Drosophila melanogaster: one gene and its partners. The protein of the gene in region 1 interacts with the protein of each later gene in a pairwise test. Each region holds a gene or a part of one and is shown on either strand. Other genes may lie near its edges. The genes, in order: CG4896, Neto, E5 and HLH4C.

Region 1 (7,319 bases):
AGATATAAACAAAAATAACAGGGATTCCCATTTGACGGAAGCCAATTCCGGAGCAGCGGTTGCCCTCTCGGCCATCCAGCGCAAGCAGAAGAAGATGAGCAGTATCGAGACCACGATCACAGCGGCGGCCACAGCTGCCGCACAGGCAGCGGCGCAAGTGAAGGCCACATTGGCTGCTCAGGTGGCCAGTGCGCCCAAGGGCAACGATGGAAAGATATACCGTATGTCGCCACTCACTTGAGTATGCTAGCATTTTATTATGTTTCATTATGTTGCAGCCACTCCCGATGTGACGCAGTACCAGTATGATGAGACATCCGGCTACTATTACGACAGTACCACGGGTCTCTACTACAATGCCCACTCGCAGTACTACTATAACAACGAGACGGGCGCGTATCTTTACTGGGATCAGCGCAGGAGCACCTATGTGCTGGCCACGCCCGCCTCCACTCAGGCAGCTCTGCAGGAAGTCCTGGCCGACGCCGAGCAAAAGGGGGAGGAGGAGTCCAAAAAGGCGAAGGAGAAGGAGGGTGGAAACAAGCACGACAAGGTTAAGGTGGCGAAGAAGATCGTCAAGGACATGGAGAAGTGGGCCAAGCAGCTAAACCAGAAAAAGGACTACACAGCTGTGGCCACGCCACAACCAATATTGGCGAACGAGGTAGCCACCACTTCGCGTGGCAATCAAGGGGGATATGCTGATGTGGGATTCTCCATTCTCGAGAAGAAGGAGAGGGGCAAGTTAAACGACTATGCGCCAAACCCGACTGTGGGTCCAATGAACAAGCTTGTCAATGCCTATGGCGGAACATCGGACTCTGAAGAGGACAATGCTGCGAGTTCGCAAAACACACAGAGTTCAGCGGTTGTAAGCGGCGGAGGAGGTGCTGAAGAGTCCGATTACGTGGACTTCCATAAACTGACATGCCTGCTCTGCAAGCGTGCCTTCCAATCGTTGGAAATACTCCAGAAGCACTTGAAGATGTCCACTCTGCACAAGGAGAACCTGGCCAAGCTCAATCAAAACACTAGCAGTAGCATCGAAGAGGCACTAGCGTAAGTGAAATCGCGATGTGTGGTGGAGTATATTATCATTGAATTCATATTCTTTCCCAGCTATCGTGATCGTGCCAAGGAGCGCAGGCTGAAGTACGGCGAGAGCGATCCTCCCCCACCAAATAGGAGCAGGGAGCGATTCGAGCAGGAGATCAAGACACTGCAGTCGCGGCAAAAGCAGTCTACTAGCGCTACTCCAGCCATGCCCATCAGTTCGAGCAACGTGGGCAGTCGACTGCTCCAAAAGATGGGTTGGTCGGAGGGACAGGGACTGGGCAGGAAGAACCAGGGACGCACCCAGATCATAGAGGTAACTGAGCTGACGGCAAGCTATAAAATGAATTAAGAAAATTAAGCATTTTGGGTTCCCTCAGGCGGACGGACGCTCCAATTACGTGGGCTTGGGCAACAAATCGGGACAGATGATACCGGGCAACGACTACAAATCCTATATAAAGAAGATGATGAAGCAGCGCTACGAGAATGCTTGAGAAATTGGTTTTTAGCCGTTTCACATGTTTCATTTCAACTAAAGTCGCCGTTTAATTCAGCTTTTCAACCGAAGCAAAAATTATTTCCATATTATATATGAAGCTTCTTGAGCATTGTTTTCCTAACAGATTGGCGTTTTTTTAAGTCCACGAGCAAGTGTGACCGTTTAGTTAATAGTTTCTGATTAAGCGAATTTAAATCCTTTTTCGAATGTACAAAATAAAATGTAACGGTGTAAAGTTTAAATTTGCTTGGTGTTGGGAAACAACTGTTAGCTGGCACTTGGTAGCCCTGGAGCTATCGGTCAGTTATCGATAACTGGCAGTCAGATACTTCGGGTGAACGGCAAAAAAGAAGACCGAGAATTTTTCTATTCGGGTTTTTTTTTTTGGCCGGATAACTGATTGTTTCTGCCTGAATGCAAAGAGACTTCCAGTTCGGGAACAAGTTTAACCAGCTTCCAATCCTGTTACAGTCGTGGTAACCAAGTAAGATGTGCGCACATAGACGGTTCATCTAATGGCAAAAGGCCAAATCACAAACACTGCATTTAATTACAATCGATTCGCATTAGATATGGATTCTCGATATGGTCACAGCTTCTCGGGCGGCAACGGAAACGGCAGCGAATCGGGCTACAGACGCTACAGTCGCTCCCGATCCCGATCCAGGTAGGTAGTCCTTTGTCCACCTGGAGCCTCTTAGTGGATTACTACCAATTGCGATTATTTCAGGGAACGAAGTCGGGACCGCAATGAGTACAGACGTCGCAACTCCCGTTCGCGCAGTCGGGAGCGGTCCTCACACTATAGAAACGACCGCAGTCCGGATCGCGATCTGTACCGCGACCTGATCAACGAGGATTACGAGGATCAGGGAAACTACAACTCGAGACAGAACCTTGACCAGCGCCACGGCGAGGACAAATACGATCGTCGGCATGCTGATAGCCAGGGTCGCAGGGATCACGATAGCAACTACGACAAGAGTGGCCAGGATATGGATAAGGACCGCGATCACCGCTGGAAAAACTACGATCGCGTTTCGAGAGAGCGCAACCATGATGACTTCGATCGGGGATCGGAGCGCAGCAGGTAAGAAATGATACATATTGCATATTACCCATATCGTGCTCAGTGTTATCACTGAGATTAAGATTAAGCTAAGTTCTATGTTTCCATTCACAAGGCTTCCATAAGAAGGAGGACTCCTCTTTCACTAGTTTAAAAGACCTTTCATTTGCTAATCACTTGTAATAAAAGTCAAAATAATTAGAAATCAACCCATTCAGTAATGTACACTTCCCTTTGTTCGCATAAATGCATACAAATCATCTTATGAAATATTCATGCTGGATGCCTTTAATTACAGTGGATAGTATGCAAACGATGGTTTCAAACGAACCGAACGAAAATTTATTCGACAAAGTGCTCATTGTATGACCTTAAAGAATCGCTTTCCTTTCAGCCGCAGCAATGACCAGCGGCAGTTCAATAATAATGGAAATAGTAACTCCAGCAGCAGTTACAGAGATCGCGAGAAGGAGCGCGATCGAGATAGACGGTGTTCCTCGGACGAGGACAGCGACATGGCCAGCGAATTCAGGCAGAGAGGTGCCTACAACAGTGGCAGCAGCGTTGAGCCCTTGAACAACATAATCCTCTTCGGTCTGAAGAAGCACGTCACGGAAGCAGACGTAATGTTTAAGCGATAAGCAGAACGAATGTAAAATTAACCAAGTAATCCTCCACAGATCATGGGCGAGCTGATCAAGGTCGACCTGGAGCCCACATCCATTCGCGTGATGAGGAAGCAACAAACAGGTGGGTTACATTTCCGTGTGTTACATTCGATTTAAAGTGAAATTGTAGAGAAAGCGTGAGTATTGCGTGCCCAGCAACATGTTCGATGTAGGACTTATAGCAATTTCAATTATACTTGGCTTCGACATCAGCAAAAACATATAGAAAACTACAAACCGAAACAAAAACACAATCCCCAAAAATGACACAATGCTAATGATACAACCAACATTTTTTGACCAAACATTTTCGTATCTACTTCTATCTAAAATTTAGGTGCCTCACGCTGTTTTGCATTTGTCGAGTTTAAAACCGTTGAGGAGGCGACTCGTTGGATGGAGTTAACCCAGGTATCCCTAAAAACCACAAGAATCTTGAATCTTCTCGTATCCGCCAAAATAGAAATGACGGCAAGATCCGATAGCTTGGCATCAACTGTTGAAAAATGTGTGCCTTGAGTTCAATTCTGCTGGTGGGCTGCCTGTCCCTTCCATTTTTCTGTCTTAGATCAGGGAACTGAACTCAAAGGCGGAATCGAATCTTACGTAAAGGAAGCAACCAGCATCTGCGTGATGTCGAAAAACACAGATGCAATCTTGGTGACTGTGTAGTCTGTGAACGATTTGCCTGATCAGCAGTTTCAGTTACTAATTCCAATTTTACCTCTTCTATTTTTCCGTTCAGGGAGTCCTCCAACTGGGCGATCATCGTGTCACCATGCAGTATAGTCACACTCGCATCTCAGACTGGACTTGCATTAAGGTATGCTCCGTTAAGATACAGATTGGCAACAATAATTAGCTTTTTTCGCCATCCTTCAGTGTGGTGCCAGCAACTTTAAGCGCCGCTTCCAATGCTACATGTGCAATGCGTCGCGGGCGGAGAGCGAGAATGCTCTTTACGGAGCCGGCGAGGGCGTCGACGAGATCAGCCAAATCCTCACAAAAAGTATATCCACCATGAGCAATATCTTTCAATGCCGTTTCCTAGCTAATCAGCTAAATACCCCACTAACCTGCCACGCTTTCCCCATGCAGAGATCATGCTTCGCGGCTTGGACGCGCTGACAAACGAGGAGGGCGTGCTAACTGCCCTTCAGCAGCGCCTGCCCGAACTGGCCAAAACAGTCAGCAAGGTGCTGGTCAGTCGCGACGCCCTAACCAATGCATCTCGGGGCATTTGCTACCTCAATTTTGACACACTCATTGATTCTATGAACGTGTTCAACGGGCTGACGGCGTTGGATCCGCCACTCACTCTGGACGACAAAACAGGTAAATTATTACTTCTTAATTATTTCATAATTAAAAAACAAAACTTTAATCCATGCCCTTCAGTTATCGTCACCTACTGCATTGACTCCGAAAACCGTCAAATGATGCCAGCCGAAGGCAACTTTTTTAGAGCAGGTGAAACAGCGATGTCTCCGTCGGCCATTACGGCGGCCTACACTTTGGCGGATGTGCCTCGTCTTGCGGAGTACAGTGCATCCGTGTATGCCTCGAATCCGTTGGAGCATGCTAACTACGTCCAGTACTATACGGATTATTACACGACTGAAATAAGCAAGAACTGCAGAGATCGTCAAGTGACGGAGGCCAACTCCGGCGCTGCCGTTGCTCTCTCGGCCATCCAGCGCAAGCAACGGAAGGTCAGCCAGATGGAGACCACGGTTTCGGTGACAGAGGCGAAGGTCGCCTTCCTTGCCAGGGGTGAAAGTGCTCCCAAGGGGAATGATGGCAAGAAATACGGTAAGTGAGCGCACACTATTCTATCTATGCGCTCCTGTAATGTCGAATATTTCATGCTCAATGGTTAGATACTCCCGATGTGTCCAAGTACCAGTACGACGAGACCTCCGGCTACTACTACGACCACGTTACAGGACTCTACTATGATGCCCACTCGCAGTACTACTACAACAACGAGACGGGCGCGTATTTGTACTGGGATCAGAAGCGGAGCACCTATGTGCTGGCCACACCCGCTTCCACTCAGGCAGCCCTCAAGGAAGTATTAGCCGATGCCGAGAAAAAGGAGGAGGAGGCCAAAAAGGCAAAGGAGAAGGAAAAAGAAAAGGAGGAAGCTGGGGGGAAGCCCGACAAGGTGAAGGTGGCCAAGAAGATCGTCAAGGACATGGAGAAGTGGGCCAAGCAGCTAAACCAAAAAAAGGACTACACAGCAGTGGCAACGCCGCAGCCTATCCTGTCGGATACTGAGGCGGCCACCACCTCCCGTGCTTCCCAAGGGGCATATGCTGATGTGGGATTCTCAATCCTTGAGAAGAAGGAGCTTGGCAAGCTCAACGACTATGTACCGGAGGCAGGACCTCCAGCGATAAGCAAATTGGTTGGTGCTTATGGAGGACCTTCTGACTCGGAAGATGATAATAGTGCCAATCAGAAAGCACTTGAAGCTAGCGTTGGGACTAAACGAGCCATTAGCGATGAATCTGACTACGTGGACTTCCAAAAACTTACTTGCCTGCTCTGCATGCGTGCCTTCCAATCGCTGGACATCTTGCAGAAGCATTTGAAAATGTCGAATCTACACAAGGAGAATCTGGACAAGCTTAAACGGAATCCCGCAGTTGAGGCTGGCACGGATGAGGGTCTATCGTAAGTGGGAATATGCTGCTAGAATGGAGATAAACTCACTAATTTACTTACCCGTACTTAGCTATCGTGATCGTGCCAAGGAACGCAGGCTGAAGTACGGTGAGAGCGATCCTCCTCCACCAAATAGGAGCCGGGAGCGTTTCGAGCAAGAGATAAAGACTTTGCAGTCGCGCCAGAAGGATTCTTTTGGCGCCACTGCAGCCATGCCCATCAGTTCGACCAACGTGGGCAGCCGCCTGATGCAGAAGATGGGCTGGTCGGAGGGCCAGGGACTGGGCAAAAAGAACCAGGGACGCACCGAGATCATAGAGGTAGGAGTCGACGAGGGCGACGAATGGCAAAATATGGATAATTCAATGTCAATGTGTATCCACAGGCTGATGGTCGTTCTAACAACGTGGGGCTGGGCAACAACACTGGCCATATGGCGCCTGGGAACGACTACAAATCCTACATCAAAAAGATGATGAAGCAGCGTTATGAGAACGCCTGAGACTCTTCTTAAAGTGTATGATTTTATTCCGCTTGAATATAGGGGCATTTAAGCATTGTTGTTTACCTCGATTACACTTCCTCCACCTTGTCGCGTTCATTTAGCATTAGTTGCGAAGTTCAAATTGTAAATAGTTCGTAAATACAGTCTCAAATTAGGTTTAAATTTAAATTGTAAATGCTTTAAGTATGGAATTGTGCAAGGGAATCTAAATCTCGTCCATGTAGCCATGCTCATAGGCGTGACGAACGGTCTTGAAGATCTCCTGGTTCGCCTCATCGCCAGCGATGTCCAAGGACAACTGGTGGAAGGCGGGGCCGTGCATATCCGTCTCGAAGAGGCGGGACAACTCGGCGCAATCCTTCTCGGTGCCGAGCAGCCAGGGAAGGAAGTGCATGCATACCATTGGTCCGTAGAAGGCATATCGTTTGAAGTGGGCATTGAAGCGTTCGAAGCTGTATTCCTGTAGCAACTGGTCCACCCGATCGTCGGTCAACTCGTTCCGGTTTCGGCGCAGAACCAGTTCCAACATTTCGATCATGCTTCGATGGTACTTGCGCAACAAGTCGGCGTAGATCTCCTTCCTTCCTTCGGATGGCGTGTTCATGTACATAAAGAAGCTCAGGTCAATGGCCGTAGTGCTGAAGCGCAGCTCCTGGAAATCGATGGCTTTGATAGCGTCCACCTTATCTTCAGCGCCGTAGTGGAACAGCACGTTGTTCCTGTTGTAGTCGCCGTGCAGAAAGGTGGCAAAGTGGCTGTCCGGTTGATCTTCGGCAAAGGAGCTGGTGCGGATTCTCTCCAGCAGGAGAGTTGGCTGCTTGAAGTACTTCTCCCGCAGTCGCTCGATGGCGG
Region 2 (5,150 bases), on another chromosome or scaffold:
GCCCTTAGTCCCAGATCCTGCTGCAAAAACGCAGCCATGGCGCTGCTTTTTGTCCCTTTGCTTCGCAGGCAACACTTTTTTACGCTGGAATTTCAAGCTGGCAGACTCAAAGGATACTCTTTGGTTAAGGTTAATTGGGTATTAATGTGATTACATCGATTTTAAGTCACAGCTGACGGCTTGTTATAGTTTGCATTCGAAACATCAGTTTATTTTATATTATTTTGCAAACGTGCTAAGCTTGGGAGAGGTAATGAAAATAATGACAACTTCTCTTTTGGTTTGCCTTTCGTTTAAAACTTAATCAGGTTATCAAGTAAGCGTAACTACAACCTACAATTGGAAATTTTATATGTTTTTGCAATAATAAACATCAGATTGTTGGTTATACTTTAAGGTTTCCATCAGCTTAATAATCAATTTAATTTAAGCAGCTCGAGCAATGACATAGATTTTAAAATTGGTTAATTTGAGAGAGTATTAGATGATAGGCTTCTACTTTTATTTGAGGTGTTTAACGCGTTCTGTCATAGCAACGCTTCGAAAGCTAATATAAAGGCAATTAAGAGTGTCTGGAGAAACTTCACGTAATCTGCGGGATCTCAAGTTATTAAAAATATGTTGTAATGAAGGGAATGTAGTTTTTAAGAGACCACAGAAGTCGTTTTTTTTTTTTATTTCGCACACATTTCGTACAATGTATGCAAACGAATCGCAAAGGAAATATCAAATCGCTTGAGGCTTTAAGAAAACCACATTCACAACAGTTTCCACAGTCTGTGATCCAGGCATGTCATTTGACATTTCACCAAAAAAAAAAAAACGAAAAAAAAGAAGAGAATAACAACAAAAACACAAAGAAAGCAAAATATAACCAAAGCAAATAAAATAAAATATTTTGCGAAGAAGCCGAACAAAAAATGAAGACAGACTTTGTTGTCCTTGTCAGCGTGGCTACAACTTCCTTGGCCCAGGACGACGTCGGAAGTGCCAGCGGAAATGAGTAAAAAACCTACAACTCACTCAAAATTCCCGCTCACTCCCATCTCACTCGCACTCGAACAATGGGAAATTCCGTTTCGAGTGAAATTTTGTGCCACAAACGAACGCACTTCGGCTGCTTTCGGCCATCGCCTCGTATTCCCACTCACTCGACATTGAGCGTTTGTGGAGCATCCTCAGAGATGCCAAATATTTTGGGGGGGAAAAAAAGCTGAAAATAATTATTTTCCAATTTCTTAAGGTTCGCATGAAACCCGTATACTTGCATCATTGTTTAACGTTTTGGTGAAATGTTGTGATAAAATGAGTTTAAGTTTTAAAATAAATCGCACTATTTTTTGGCTCTTTACCATATCAAAATGTATATACTAAAATGAGCTTGAAAGTGGGCGGCGAAAATATGTTGATGTTAAGAAATGCATCTGGATATCGAGCAGACGTTTCCCATAATTTATTTTTATTAAGTTTTTATTTCTTAATCTCTATAGAAAAGCAAGATATTATAGATCACTGTCAGTTTTCATATTCACATCCGTAAATCTAATAGGAAACAATTTTTGTTTAAAAGAAATAATTAAAAGCTAAGATCCGTCATAAATAGTACTGTCAATTTGAGAGGCTAGAAAAATAAGATAATACATATCAGCTTATAATTTTTAAATTTCTTTTCGGGAAATTAATTTTTAAGCGTGGGAAATGGACAAAAATTGCTAGATTCTCGCAAGTATTTTATTTTATGGTGTGATATTCTTCTAAAATTAGATATTTTTATTAATACGTATTTTTTTTTTTAACAAGTGGAATCCAATTAGTTTGTTTTATTATGTTAATGATTGTTAGTATTAAAAAAAAAACTTCTATAGATATTGGGCAAACAACTCAATCAATTTTAGGTAGTAACATAATAAAGTAATAAATACGAATACAATTCTTTTTGGTTGATAGAAAAGAATAAGACAGTGAGCGGCTGGAAAAACTAGCCAGAGTTGTCGGGAAAGCCGGCTAAGTAAGCAGCACTGGCGGGTCGACAACAGCAGTGGCAGCATCCGCCGTGGCAGCGGCAACAGTCGAGCGGCAGACTCGATGCAGCAGAGCCACAAATTCCGGCATTACGTATACGCCCAGTCTACGTCGAGTTGGCCACGTGTACGGACACGCGGCGCGGTTCGCTTTCTCCGGTGACAGCACATTCGATATTAACGTTTCACTACCAAAAAAAAAAAAACATCGCGATTGGTTGCTAATAGACAAGCACCAGAGATACGATTTTAAAATCTTAAGGTTTTGCTTTTGTTCAAAAGAAATACAAATTTTTTTGTTTGGTTGTTTGTGTGACAGTGACAGTGCCAGTGTGAAAGTGTGTGTGTGTGAAAAGCTTGCCGGCTTGAAAAATGCGCGCCAAAAATTGAGATATTTTCGCGGAGCGCAGCGGCAACAAAAACAAATAAAAACAACATTTCGCAACGCAGCCAAAGGAGGCGACAACACGCAAATAGTAATATATACATATATATATAAATTAAACATATGCACATATACATATATATATTAGATGGCAGCTTTGCAATGTAAACAAATTATATTTCCGTGTTTTCTTAAAATAACAAATCTATTTGCCGATATTTACCAATTAATTAGTGGGCTAGTGACAATATTAAGTTGCAAAGGATAACAATTATAAAATAAATACGTATACTGCTGCATTCCGCATAATAGGCAATAAATATGTTTGCGAATATATTAATCAAATCAAGGCATTATGGCTGTGGTAGCTGAATGAAATTTGCATAAATCAAGCTTCAATGATCCAGAGGGCACATTAGTCTCTTTTAGCCTGTAGTTGTAAAAGTTGTTCGGTTTTAGCCAACAAAATGGAAATGAAAAGGCAAAAAGTGGATGTGTCATAAAAATTCCTTTTGCACAGAAGGCGTCCATTATGCGGATTCTAAAGCAATATTAAAATAATCTCTAGTAATTTCCTAGTAAGTGCCCACTTAAATGAGTTTTTCTTTTTTATTAGTGCGCTTTAAGTCTTTGATTTTATTTTAATGCGTCTTGGGATATATTTATACATATTATTAATTGTTAATTTGTTCAGCAGTTTTAGATCGAATATACTTGCGATTAAACATTTCTAAACATTTTGAAAAGTGTTCGATTTTTTGTTGTTTTTATTATTTATCTCATATAAGCTACAATATATGTTGAAAGATTTCGAATGAATGTTTAATTTAAACTATTTTGTCGCATTCGTTTGGAAACTTCGACCGTATTTTCTATGTATCCCGTATAGATAAGTTTGGGGCCACTTAGCGAATTGGCGGACATATTTTTAGACATAGCCCAAATAGTAAAAAAACAAGAGCAGAACGAGTAAGCGAAGAGGGGAAAATTGTATAAAAACCAAAGACACGAACGCAGAGGCTATAGAGAATTGGTGAAAAATGAGAGAAATTCATTAATAAAAGACAGCAACAAAAACAAGAGCAAAAATTAAACGGCTGCCATCAGGCTTTCCCACTTCTCTCACCAATTTTCCCTTTCGTTTTCCCGCTTTTCCTTGTCCACGGCACAGCTGTGATCACACGAAGAGAAAGAAAAAACAGAAGAAAATTCGGAAAAAAATGAAAATAAAAATTATTACATATGCGTAATGGGTATTTTGTGTTGTTGCTGCTGTTATTGAAGAAGATTTTCCAAGCTACAACTACAACAATTCCGTTAGCGCCAACTTTGACGAAGGTTTTCCATCGGCTTTTCTTTAAATACCCTCGCGAATACGCAGTGTATGGATTAGGGATTGATGAACTATGCTATTAGGTTAAATAAAAATATACTCCGCAAAACAATAATAATCATTTGGGCTTGCAAAACTGAATGCAATCTTTATTTATTGCATTAGTAGATTGAATAAATTAATTGTTTACGGGGTATTGTGTTGGTTGTTAATTGTCCATTAACTTAATTTCCCAGTGTTTTCTCTGTTTTGTTGCCGTCTCAATGAATTCACTAGACTTCCAATCGTCCCATCTCTTTCGCATGCTGTGCAGCCATCTCTCTCTATCGGTGGCTGACAAAGTTTTGCATTATGTTCATCTCGTCTGTCGCTCTTCTATATCCCATTCCCACATATGTGGCTCAAGGCTATCTTATACACGCACTTTCAGCGCCCTCGTCGATTTCTTAGTTTTTCTTCTCATTTTCCATTCATTTTTGCTGCTCCCATTTCGGTTTTCTTAAATTTTTTCAGCATGTTGCCCTCATAAATTTGGGCGAGGCAAACAAAATTTTTGTGGTAAACTTTTATTCACGAGGGTTTTTTTTATTTTTGAAGGGAAACTTCGATGGTAATTAATGGCATGTTGACCAGCTGGTCAAATAGGGAAAAGGATTATTCCTGCCTTTTAAGGACTAAAGTAAAGGATGAGTTCTTACTCCAAAAGAAAGCTTAAATCATATTATTTTCTTCTTCTGTGTATTCTTATTTTGTTCAAGAAGAATGTATCCAGCATTCAACAATTACAAATCAATGTTTAATAGCAATATTTATTTGTACTCCGTATTTTCTGAGTGTGATTATATTGTTGTTCAGATTTTCTCCATTGATTTTAATTCAACCATTTCGTTTTTGTGATCCTTTTAATTTTCTTAGCCATGTTGTAATTTCCCTTCTAGTTTTTCCACATTGGACTCCATTTAGTTTTATCTCTCTGCAGCTGTGCTGAGATTAAATTTTGTTCAATTTTTGTAACCATTTATTTCAATAAAATTAAGCCAAAAGTTTTTACAGTTAAGCCCAAACTTCCTTTGGCGATTTCGGTTAGCTTAACTGCTTTCCGCCTCCTTTGACCACCCATTTCCTTTGTGTCCCGAGCAACAGGTCCTCTCTCATTTGCTGGGATTTCTTCTTATTTATTATTTGTGTCTGTCCACAGTGTTTTCATTTCTTTCCCCGTATTATTTTTGGCCGCAAAAAAGTCTGATCTTAAAGCCTTTTTGCATTGTGCGGCGATTTTCGCAGCAATTTCCCGTGGAATGTGAAACTAATTGCAGCTGGACTTGGGTGGTTGGAAAACGCAATGGCATACAACTAATCAGAACGGAAAAAGAGCAGAAAAGCCTGGAAATGGGCATGCGAATGGGAATGG
Region 3 (5,017 bases), on another chromosome or scaffold:
ATGCAGGCATTTGCTGCATTTTATCTTTTTGTGGGCCCTCCTTCTGGTCATATATCAAGTGCGGTAAATGCCAAAAAATACGCCCACAAAATCATTGATTGCCGATCGATAACCTTTTGCGGTGATGGAGCATCCCATAAAGTTCTCGTCCCAGCTCATTGTCTGACTAATTAAATGATTTATCCCGAATCGTGAGGCAGAGGAGCTGGAAAGGAGATGGGAAAGAGTAAAAACCAATTACAATTACCGCACCCAGAGGTGCCACACTCACAGATATAGATATATGTATACGTGTATACATGAGTGCATCTGCGGCAGCAAAGCTGCTGCCCCACCGACAAGCAACGGCCTTATCTAGATGCATACAAATCCAGCCAAGCGCACGTCAATTTATTTGCCAACTCTCGCCTCCTTTCTGGCCAACATCCATATCCATTCATGGCCAAAAGGAGGAGAATCGCATGTATTTACCTATGAGAAGGCTGCGAAGTTGGCGCTGCATGTTTTATGCCTCCTCCTGCATCTTTAACGAGGTGTTTATTTTCACAACTCACAGCCAGCGGATGAGGATGCGGATAGGGATGGGGATGGGAATGGGGATGGGGATGGGTATACAGATACTCGGATGACCACGCACAGATACAGATGCAGATACGTTCCCTTCCCAGCACGCTGTATCTGTATCTGTGAGATTCGCGCAGTTGCAGCTCGCCGAAGGTGTAGAAACCAAGTTACCGCCCATTTTCGTGTCCAAATGCTTTTGGCCAACATGATGCAGATGCCAATTCAGAATGGTAGAATGGCCAAGCGGCGGGGGGAGGGAAAGTGGTTTATAGCCAGCACTGACGACGGGGCGTCTAAGCTATATAAGCGATGACGTTGATTCCACTGCACAGTGGTATCGGCTCGATATCCTTTGAAAAATGCGTATTTTCTACTTTTGAGTTATGTACAAATTTGAACACTTTTTAATATCGATTTTCCAGTAGATAGTAAATAATTTAATACATGAAAACAATTTAAAAACGGTTACTGATGAAAGATAAACGTTTAAGCCTTAAATATTTCAATGAATAAATACAATTCAATTAAATAAAGTTTCAATTTTTTTTTATTGTTAGTATTTGCATAATTAAAAGAGGGCACAGTTCGCTTTTCAATTTTAAATGTTATATTTATTATATTTATTTTTAATCATCGAAGACCTACTTCCTATCCACTGTTCGGGTGCACCACCCCCGTTCCCCCTCCTACGCTCCAACAAACTGGCCAACCCGCTTGGCACTAAAACCACAAACGCTTTAATGATGCTGTTTTGTTTAGCGCAAATTGTTTGTTTCGCTGTCATAAACTGGTGCGAAAAATGGCCAAGAGAGCGACAGAGAGAGAGAGAAAAAGAGAGAGATTGGGGCCCCTCACACACCCACACACCAACAAGCCCAGAGAGCGGGAGAGCGAGCGAGAGAGGAGGTGGCTCCACTTGGAGCCAAGCAGGTTTTCGGAATATCCACTGAACTATTGTTGCGCTGCTTTGGCGCACGCGCACCGAGCCACGTGTGCGAGCGAGACGCCAGCAGTATTGCTGCGCTGGAAGTACAAGCAAAGGAAGAAGAAGCACACTCGAACTGGCCCCACAAACTTTTTGCGGCTTTTTCCAACGCGACACTCGAGCTAAAACGCTCAGCGTGAGAGCCACGCAGCGATTCGCCGACGCCCCCGCCAAAAATCAGGACAGAAAGAGAGAAAGCGAGAGAGAGACAGAGGTTGCGAGCGGCGAAGTGGAGCCAACAATTAGACGCCTTTAGACGCTCCATAATGCTAATGGCGTTGACAGTGCTCATCATCATCGCAGCGCGGCCACCGCAATCGTTTCGTTACCGGGTAGCCGGCATAACCGTTAACCGTTAACTGATACCGCCACCGCCACCGTCAATCGCCAATAGTCAATCGCCAACCATCAATCGCCGCCGTCAATCGTCCAGCGAAGCGGTACGGTCACGCTCCAATCGCCGCGTTGCCGCCGCTCCAGTTACAGTTACAGTTTATCAATGTCACGCCGACGGATGCCAACCGCTGGAGCATCGCAGATACAACGCTACGTAGCTATATAGCTATAGCTATCTGATCGGAAAAACAGTGCGTGTGTGCTTATCTGATATCTAGTAACCATTAACCGATGTACGCGATCATGTTTCCATAGCACCAACCCATTTATTGGGAGCTTCGATCAGTACAACCCTTTTTCCGTTTCCGTTTCTATTCAGTTCAATTCCATTTCAATTTCCATTCCCTTTGATTTTAGTAGGATTTTTACCGTTTTATTTTATTCCTAAAACTTTTAGTTGAGCATTATTCTTTTATTTACTGATTTATCCCGTTCGAAAATACAAAATTTTTTTTTTCAAAAAAGTCAAATATGGAATGGAAAAAATGGAATTTAAGGCCTACAAGTGTTCTTATAATCTACTTCGACTTGCAGAGACTTCGAATCGGGAAGTTTAAGAGGAGGGAAAGTGATTCATTTGTTTTTCCAATCAACGAAACCCCTACCAAATGGTCACCTGCGGCCGGCAAACGTTCAACATGCTGCCCATGGCGCCGACGAGTCCTTTTGTGAGCAGCAGCTCCTCGGTGGCCGCATCCTCGACTTCCGTTTCCGCCAGCAGTACCGTTTCCGCCTCCGCGAGCAGCAAGCCCAAGCTGGCCTTCAGCATCGACTCGATTGTGGGCGAATCCTCGACGAGATCGGCTCCACTAAGGGTCAGTGTGATATCTTCGCCGCCGCCGCGCAGCGAAAGTCCCGCTTCGCCAACGAACACGAACAACAGTGGGCGCCGGACGCCCAGGGGCTATATCTACTGCCGCAGAAGGGATTCGCTGGATCGATCGCGCAGTCCTCAGAGATCACCGGTTAGCCGGTCGCCATCGCCCCCCAATGCAGGAGGCAATCCGGCAGCGGCCGGGAATACTGCAAAGTCCGGGGATCCATCGTCGGGAACGGGAAATCCTCCAACCCTCATCCGTCCGTTGCCTCTGCCGGCGCCAAATCTAGCTTTAATTGGGAACCGCACCTCACCGAACGCCATGGCGGTGCGCATGGCGGGTCCGCCCCACCCGCCGTCGCAGCCACCGCCGTTCCTTGCCGCCCAGTTCCAAATGGCTGCTGCACTGGCTCATCATCACCAGCAGCAACAGCAGCAGCAACAACAGCAACTTCCGCCCGTGCCAACTGGACCGCCACATGGTCCACATCCGCATCTGCCGCCCGGCCAAATTCCACTTGGAATCTTTCCCGGCGGACCGCATCCCGGGCATCCTCCGCCCCACGGACACCATCCGTTCGGGAGTGCGCCGCATCTGATCCGGGATAGCTATCCGTTGTATCCATGGTTGCTCAGCCGACACGGACGCATTTTTCCACGATTCCCAGGCAGTAAGTAATCACACTGTTTTAAATATATCTATTGTTTATTACAATATTTTCAATAAGTTCAGAGTTCAGAGAAGCTAACCGGTTTAGCAAGCGGTACTTTCATATGTATATAAAACCGCTAAAAATTATTTCTATAAATTGAAAAATATAATTTTTATGCATAATCATCTAAGCTAACAATTATTTGTAATAAATTTACTGCAAAATTAATAACAGTTTATATAACAATAATACATATCATTTAATTTAATATTTACCCTATTCTGATAATAAGAGTACATCTCTCTTTTACGGATTATTAGAAAGATAGTTGTTACATATATATTTTTCATATTTGAACATTAGAATATTATGATAGTTTACGGTCGGTTTCTTCTTCTGGAGATAGCAACCACCCCTTTTGTTGGTTATTTTTCGCTATAACGAGTTTTCCGCATTCATTATAGCCGTTTCAAATGGCCGCTGAGTGTTGCGAGCGACAGAGAAAAAGAAACCACACCTTAAGTCATATTCGAAGCCCAGCACCATTATAGTAGAGAGGACCCCAATCAAGCAATTATTCAGTTATCGCTGTTGTTGCCGCGCAGCTCCATATAATTAAAGTTAAATAAGCAAATGGCAAACATTTATTACAAGTTAATTAGACGTGTATCGGGCTCATCATCATCAGAGGGAGCGGGACGGAGAATGGGAGCGAACAGGAAGGGGGGAATGTGGAGGGAACCGAACCCATTTTGATAACTATTTCCAAACAAATTACATTTTAATTAAATTGTTTAAACAACATTACACACATCGTTAGGTCAAGCAGCGTACCTAAATGGCCAGCCAAGTGTGTGAGTGTGTGTTTAGCATTTATTTGCTCTATTTATACTTTTTCTCTTCACTCGAAATTACCATTAATGGCCAACAGACGGCGCCAGTTACTCATGCGGCGGGCCCATGCGGCGTATGTGTAACGTACGAAAAGTGCAACCATTGAAATGTTAATGCGTTTTTAATTGAGGTTTTGGGGCAACCAAGCAAAGAACCGAGAGGAATGGTAAAAAAAAAAAACTGGCAGATAGAAGCGAAGAGCCACCGCAAAGCGCATCTCAAAAACATTGTCATTTATTACGGTTTAACCACTTTTTTCTACCATTCCGCTGCTCTCATGATTACCATTTGAATTTCCAGGCCATGTTGGTATCCATGTTTTTTTTCGGCCGGTTAAATATAATAATAATTTTCGGCACACTCACACGCCTTTCACCTGCTTAAGTGTACATGTATCCCCGTTACGCCTTAATTATGTTGTACTCCGTTTCATTATTTTCTCCCTTTCTACTTGTTTTCCCATTTCCCGCCGCTCCTTCTCTTTTTTCTCACTTTTCTCCGCGCCGCCTGTAATTTTCGCTTGATTTATGAACGTGAAATGTCAATGTTTCGCATAACGATTTCATTAATTGTAAATGTTTTTCATCTCCGTTTGTTTTGTAACTCGTGTGAGTAATACCAGGTTACATGGGTTTGTTTTTCTTCCATTTTTTCCCGATCTGGAGTAAGATAATGGGGATCATCGCGATAGCGACGGTGATGATACGT
Region 4 (4,953 bases), on another chromosome or scaffold:
AGCCCGGTACGGGCAAGAATTTTGTGGCTGAGCAAATTGCAGATGCTATGTATTTGAAGGGCTCCAGGTCGAACTATGTAACCAAGTATCTCGGACAAGCTGACTTTCCCAAGGAAAGTGAGGTGTCTAACTATAGGGTGAAAATCAATAATGCGGTGCGCGATACCTTGCGTAGCTGCCCGAGATCTTTGTTCATCTTCGACGAGGTGGATAAAATGCCCAGCGGAGTATTCGACCAGCTCACCTCGCTGGTGGACTACAACGCCTTTGTCGATGGCACGGATAACACAAAGGCAATCTTCATCTTTCTCTCGAACACGGCGGGCAGTCATATAGCCAGTCATCTGGGTAGTGTGATGAAGAATGGTAGGCTGCGCGAGGACACACGACTGAGTGACTTTGAGCCCCTTTTGCGGAAGGCCGCCTATAACATGGATGGCGGTATGAAAAAGACCACCATGATTGAGTCTCATGTTATCGATCATTTCATTCCGTTCCTGCCGATGGAGAAGGCGCATGTGATCAAGTGCCTGGAGGCGGAGCTTTTAAGGTGGCGGCGCGATCCTAAGCAAGCGAACAACCAAAAAATCATTGAGGACATAATAAACTCCTCCATTAGTTACGATCGCACGCACAGCTTGTTCGCCATTTCGGGCTGCAAGACGCTGGAGAAGAAGGTGGCCATGGCCATTTACTGAGAAAGGACCGACCGACTCCACATTTTAATGCTTAGTTTGGGTTTCGGTTTGTATTTAAAAAACTATTTTTTCGGAATAAAGAAAACAAATTTTAACTACCAGGGATTTAGCCACTTGAGGCGGGCATCTTTGCGCAGCAGATCGGTATCCAGTCGCTTGGGCTGCTCGTCGTAATCCTGGCGAGCCGCCAGGCGGGTATCGATGGGTCCCAGGTCCTTGGTTACCAGGCACTCGCCGTTCTCCTTGAGTATCGTATGCCGGACATCCTGGGCAGTGGGCTCTCCGTAGGGGAACGTGACCGGCGTAACCTTAATTAGATGCTTGATCTTCCACAGGCGGGCATTGTTCTCCGGTATGTTCTTGACGACAGTAAAATCGCTCTGCTTTCCGTCTAGTCCCAGATCTTTGAGGATTCGATTCTCCCAGTAGGGATTGCCCTTTAGCGGCTTGATGCGCTGCACCCGGAAAAGTTTCGCCGGCTCCACGGGTGGATCCTGGTGATCGGGAGTCCTGAGCGGGATAGATTTAGCATTAACAAATGCTGGATTTCGTGTGTTTTCCTTTTATACACTGCACACGTGAATACGAACCTGGGATAGTAGGTGATACCCTCAAATTTCTGGCCATTTTTGTAGAGGAACTTCTTGTTGTGCTTTCCGTAGCTGCGCACCGAACATGCGGTGCTCCTCAGTGGATTCAGCAGCCTTCCCAGGTTCATCTTAATTGTTTTCCCCCCTTTGTAATAAAATTAAATGCAAAACGCTTATGAAATAATTGATGTTTCCCCGACGATAACGATTACACAGACATCTGGTTAACTAGTTGCCTATCGATGGGCAGCATGGATACTGCCGTTATGTAAACCAATGTTAACCGCTTGCTGTTAAGCGATACAATTCAAATGCAAAGGCGGCAAAGTTAAAAGTGATAATTTATCATGTACAAACTGAAGATAATTTATCATTTACAAACTGAAGATAGCGAAAACATTATCAATAAGATGGTAATATATATTCGTTGTTTTTTTTTTTAATATTTCAAGAATTAGTTGAGAAAAGAAAGTTTTTAGGTCATCGGATTACACAGCCTCCAGGGGATGATGTCCATTTCTGGAAAGGGGCGGTCTCATATCAAAATCTCCGCCATTTTGTCAGCTACAATTGGCGCTAATCGACGAGGGTGGATAACTTGGCATTGGCTGGCTTTCAACGCAATGGGGTTGTTTCCGATTTTGGTTATAAAGGAGGCTGCAGCTTCCCGACCGGAAGTCAGTTCCACGTGAGCATCCATCCGGCGAGCAACCGACTCTAGTGGCAAGCAAGGATATCTGCCAGACAACTCAAGGATCTAGAATAACTCTGCACCTGTGATAACTGCTGTAAGTTCAGGCAACAAAGCCCAAAAATTGTGAGCAATGCAAATGAAGTGAATGTACTAGCGAGTAGAATAATCAAATTAAAGATACAAATAGCTGAATGAAGTCTCTAGTTCGTTTAAAATTATATCTAGAAATTTGTTAATTAGCTAACTTGACCATGTGCACGCACTCGACATGTGTAAGTGTACTGGAGTTTCATAGTCTTGAGGGGACTTGAGTTACACGACAAGTTCTTAAAACTAGATCGGATTTCCATCATCCCATGGGATCAATAGACACGTCTTCGACTTGATGCAATTCCAGTGACACTTTTTGGACCCAAAACCCATTAAATCAATAGATATAAAATCATACGTTAACCGCAACAATACAAAAAAGGGTGGCCAAGCCTAAGGGGTTGGCATCGCTGAGGTTTGCCAACTCCCGCGGGCAAATAAACGTGCCGATTGTTCAGCTATTTGTGTAGGTGTGAAAATATGCTGCGAATAAACAATACACGCACAATGCCGACAATAAGCACAATAAGTACAATAAAAATAAATGAAAATAATAGCAAACGCAAACAGAATGCAGCGAAAAAGGGGTGTGTCCTTCATCGGCAAGGACGACACACACACACACGGACACCCTTCATCACAAATGTCCACAAATGAAGCATAAATAATTCGAGTGCAAGGATTATGATTTCTTCAACGCCTATTGTAACCTTTTTTTTTTCAATAGCATGAGCGCTCCACCGCAAAGGTAGCCACACTTTTCGTCTTCCTTGAGTTTGAAATGCAGATCTGTGAAGCAATCAAGTACACATTTCGTTGTATTCATAGTCTAAGCTGTGCATCCTCTTGCTTCCATTTCCATTTCCAGCATTCAGCAGCAGGCTGGGCAGCGCAAGAAAGTCCAGTGTCCAGCACCGAAATCAGTGGTGCAAATAGCCAGAGAATGGTCTACGATATGAGCCATATGGCGGCGGGTCCGCCGCAAAGCATTTCGCTTAGTCGCTACTATCTGGTCGACGATGATGAGATGATTGGGCCAAATAATCCGCATCTGGTCAACGAGGACTATGCGGCCAGTACGACGCTGGATATCGATAAGCGTTTTCAGGCGCGAATGGCGTGCGAAACGGCCGCACAACCGGCACCGCCACCGCCGCCCACGCCGGCGCCACGTCGCCGGACCACGCCCATTGCCCATTTGGATCCATCGGAATTGGTGGGTCTATCGCGGGAGGAGCGGCGTCGTCGCAGGCGAGCGACACTCAAATACCGAACGGCACATGCGACGCGGGAGCGTATACGGGTGGAGGCATTCAATGTTTCCTTTGCCGAGCTGCGCAAGCTGTTGCCCACATTGCCGCCGGACAAGAAGCTTTCCAAGATCGAGATCCTCAAGCTGGCCATCTGCTACATTGCCTATTTGAATCATGTGCTGGAGACGCCCTGAGATAGCGCCGGCGCCTCCAGTTTCGCCACCAGCTGCCTCTTTAACGAGGCCAATTTTTTCGCCCCCCCGTAGGAGGTGGGGGGGCGTGGCGGGCGGATTTAGGGGGAAAACATTGCGAATATTCCACATCCGATAAACGCATTTCACCATGCTCTGTAATCCGCACATCGCTCCATTGGATACTTTGCCGGTGGCGGCTATGGATAATGCGATTATCGAATTAGCCATCTCACCAACTTAACCGAAGTGTTCGATGGATTTTGCCGATTTGCTAACCTATTTAACCTATGGTTAAATACATACATTTTTTTGTTTTTTGTTTTTTTTTTTCCTTGCCACTGTTGAAAGACAAATGCCCGTCGTTTCGTTTCGATTCGTTTTTTTTTTTAGGCTTAGGTTTGTTTTCGTAGAAACAATTGTAAAGCCACGATTTAACCTAAGGTTAAAATATGCCCGTACTAAATGTAGAAGATATAAGCTATTAGTTTGTGTAATTTAATTGAAAAGTAGAAATATCGAAGGAAATAACAAAACTAAATATGCCAGTAGTACATACAATTAAATTTATGGGAAAGCAGTGCTTAATCCTCGGAGTAAACCTTGATCATGGTTTATATAATATAAATAACCAAGAAAAAAAAAACAGAACCTTAAACTAAGATCCATTTTTTGTCTAGCCTTTAAGTCGTGATATTTGTTTATACTCAAACGATTAATATATACAGCATTGTAATCGCAATAAAAAATTGTCTACTTTATGTATTTTGGCGCGCCTTTGCACGACACTCCCCTCGACTTTTGGACACCAGCTGCTCTGACTGAGTTTTCCATTTGTCTGAACGCTTTGCTCGGAAAAGCCAGATGCTAACAGTTCCCCCTTTTTCACCAACCTTCAAGAACCACGTATCCACGTATCAAAAGCGGGCGTGTCCTTTGCGCCAAGCCCCGCCCATTTGTGTAAAAGCGAAGTAGAGCAGCCTCTGTCATAATTTTCAAAAATTGAGGATACATTTTTATTTTTTTGTTTTAGAAACTGTGAAAGCGTCACGGAAATTTCGACTTTTGTGCAAAATTTCGAAATGGCCCTTCATTTTAGTGCACAGCAGGTAAGACAAATTTATTCTAGTCGATTGGGAGGCTGTTTTCAATATCCATAAATAGTGGCCTAATTTGGTTGGTACGGGTAACGGGTATATATATATATACATATATATATATTTGTGTGGATCCATGGATGTAAACATTTTCGCAATAATAATAACAACAAACGTGGCAATGGCAACCAACTCGATTCGGCGCCATCCTTTTCTATCCAGTGAAAAACGACTCCTGCATTCCGACAATCGGCTGTTTGTCCCTGTATGGGTGCTATTTTCATGGGTGTGGGTGTACTGGCGTTCATAAACAAAAACAAAGGCCAGGCGACAAGGAAGT

The links.
Region 2: the proteins of CG4896 (region 1) and Neto interact in a two-hybrid assay, tested with the Drosophila melanogaster proteins (one large-scale study listed by BioGRID).
Region 3: the proteins of CG4896 (region 1) and E5 interact in a two-hybrid assay, tested with the Drosophila melanogaster proteins (one large-scale study listed by BioGRID).
Region 4: the proteins of CG4896 (region 1) and HLH4C interact in a two-hybrid assay, tested with the Drosophila melanogaster proteins (one large-scale study listed by BioGRID).

The regions. Positions count from the first base shown.
Region 1 is NT_033779.5:1,175,823-1,183,141, forward strand, and holds CG4896 (uncharacterized protein), read left to right. Parts: upstream 1-1,867; 5' UTR 1,868-2,039; exon of another isoform or gene 2,040-2,125; 5' UTR 2,126-2,127; coding exon 2,128-2,222; intron 2,223-2,285; coding exon 2,286-2,645; intron 2,646-3,018; coding exon 3,019-3,247; intron 3,248-3,304; coding exon 3,305-3,374; coding exon of another isoform or gene 3,375-3,409; exon of another isoform or gene 3,410-3,629; coding exon 3,630-3,703; exon of another isoform or gene 3,704-4,037; coding exon 4,038-4,115; intron 4,116-4,174; coding exon 4,175-4,301; exon of another isoform or gene 4,302-4,390; coding exon 4,391-4,627; intron 4,628-4,690; coding exon 4,691-5,104; intron 5,105-5,172; coding exon 5,173-5,971; intron 5,972-6,032; coding exon 6,033-6,282; intron 6,283-6,347; coding exon 6,348-6,464; 3' UTR 6,465-6,632; downstream 6,633-7,319. Other genes in the region: CG4887 (uncharacterized protein), read left to right, coding at 1-221, 279-1,059, 1,120-1,369, 1,434-1,550; CG5126 (uncharacterized protein), read right to left, coding at 6,673-7,319.
Region 2 is NC_004354.4:13,443,781-13,448,930, forward strand, and holds the start of Neto (neuropilin and tolloid-like), read left to right. Parts: upstream 1-2,122; 5' UTR 2,123-2,497; intron 2,498-5,150.
Region 3 is NT_033777.3:13,871,716-13,876,732, reverse strand, and holds the start of E5 (E5), read left to right. Parts: upstream 1-1,816; 5' UTR 1,817-2,136; intron 2,137-2,479; 5' UTR 2,480-2,553; coding exon 2,554-3,433; intron 3,434-5,017.
Region 4 is NC_004354.4:4,644,430-4,649,382, reverse strand, and holds HLH4C (helix loop helix protein 4C), read left to right. Parts: upstream 1-1,968; 5' UTR 1,969-2,076; intron 2,077-2,940; 5' UTR 2,941-3,015; coding exon 3,016-3,519; coding exon of another isoform or gene 3,520-3,591; 3' UTR 3,592-4,256; downstream 4,257-4,953. Other genes in the region: torsin, read left to right, coding at 1-698; mRpL30 (mitochondrial ribosomal protein L30), read right to left, coding at 794-1,208, 1,289-1,416; CG3062 (uncharacterized protein), read left to right, coding at 4,599-4,625.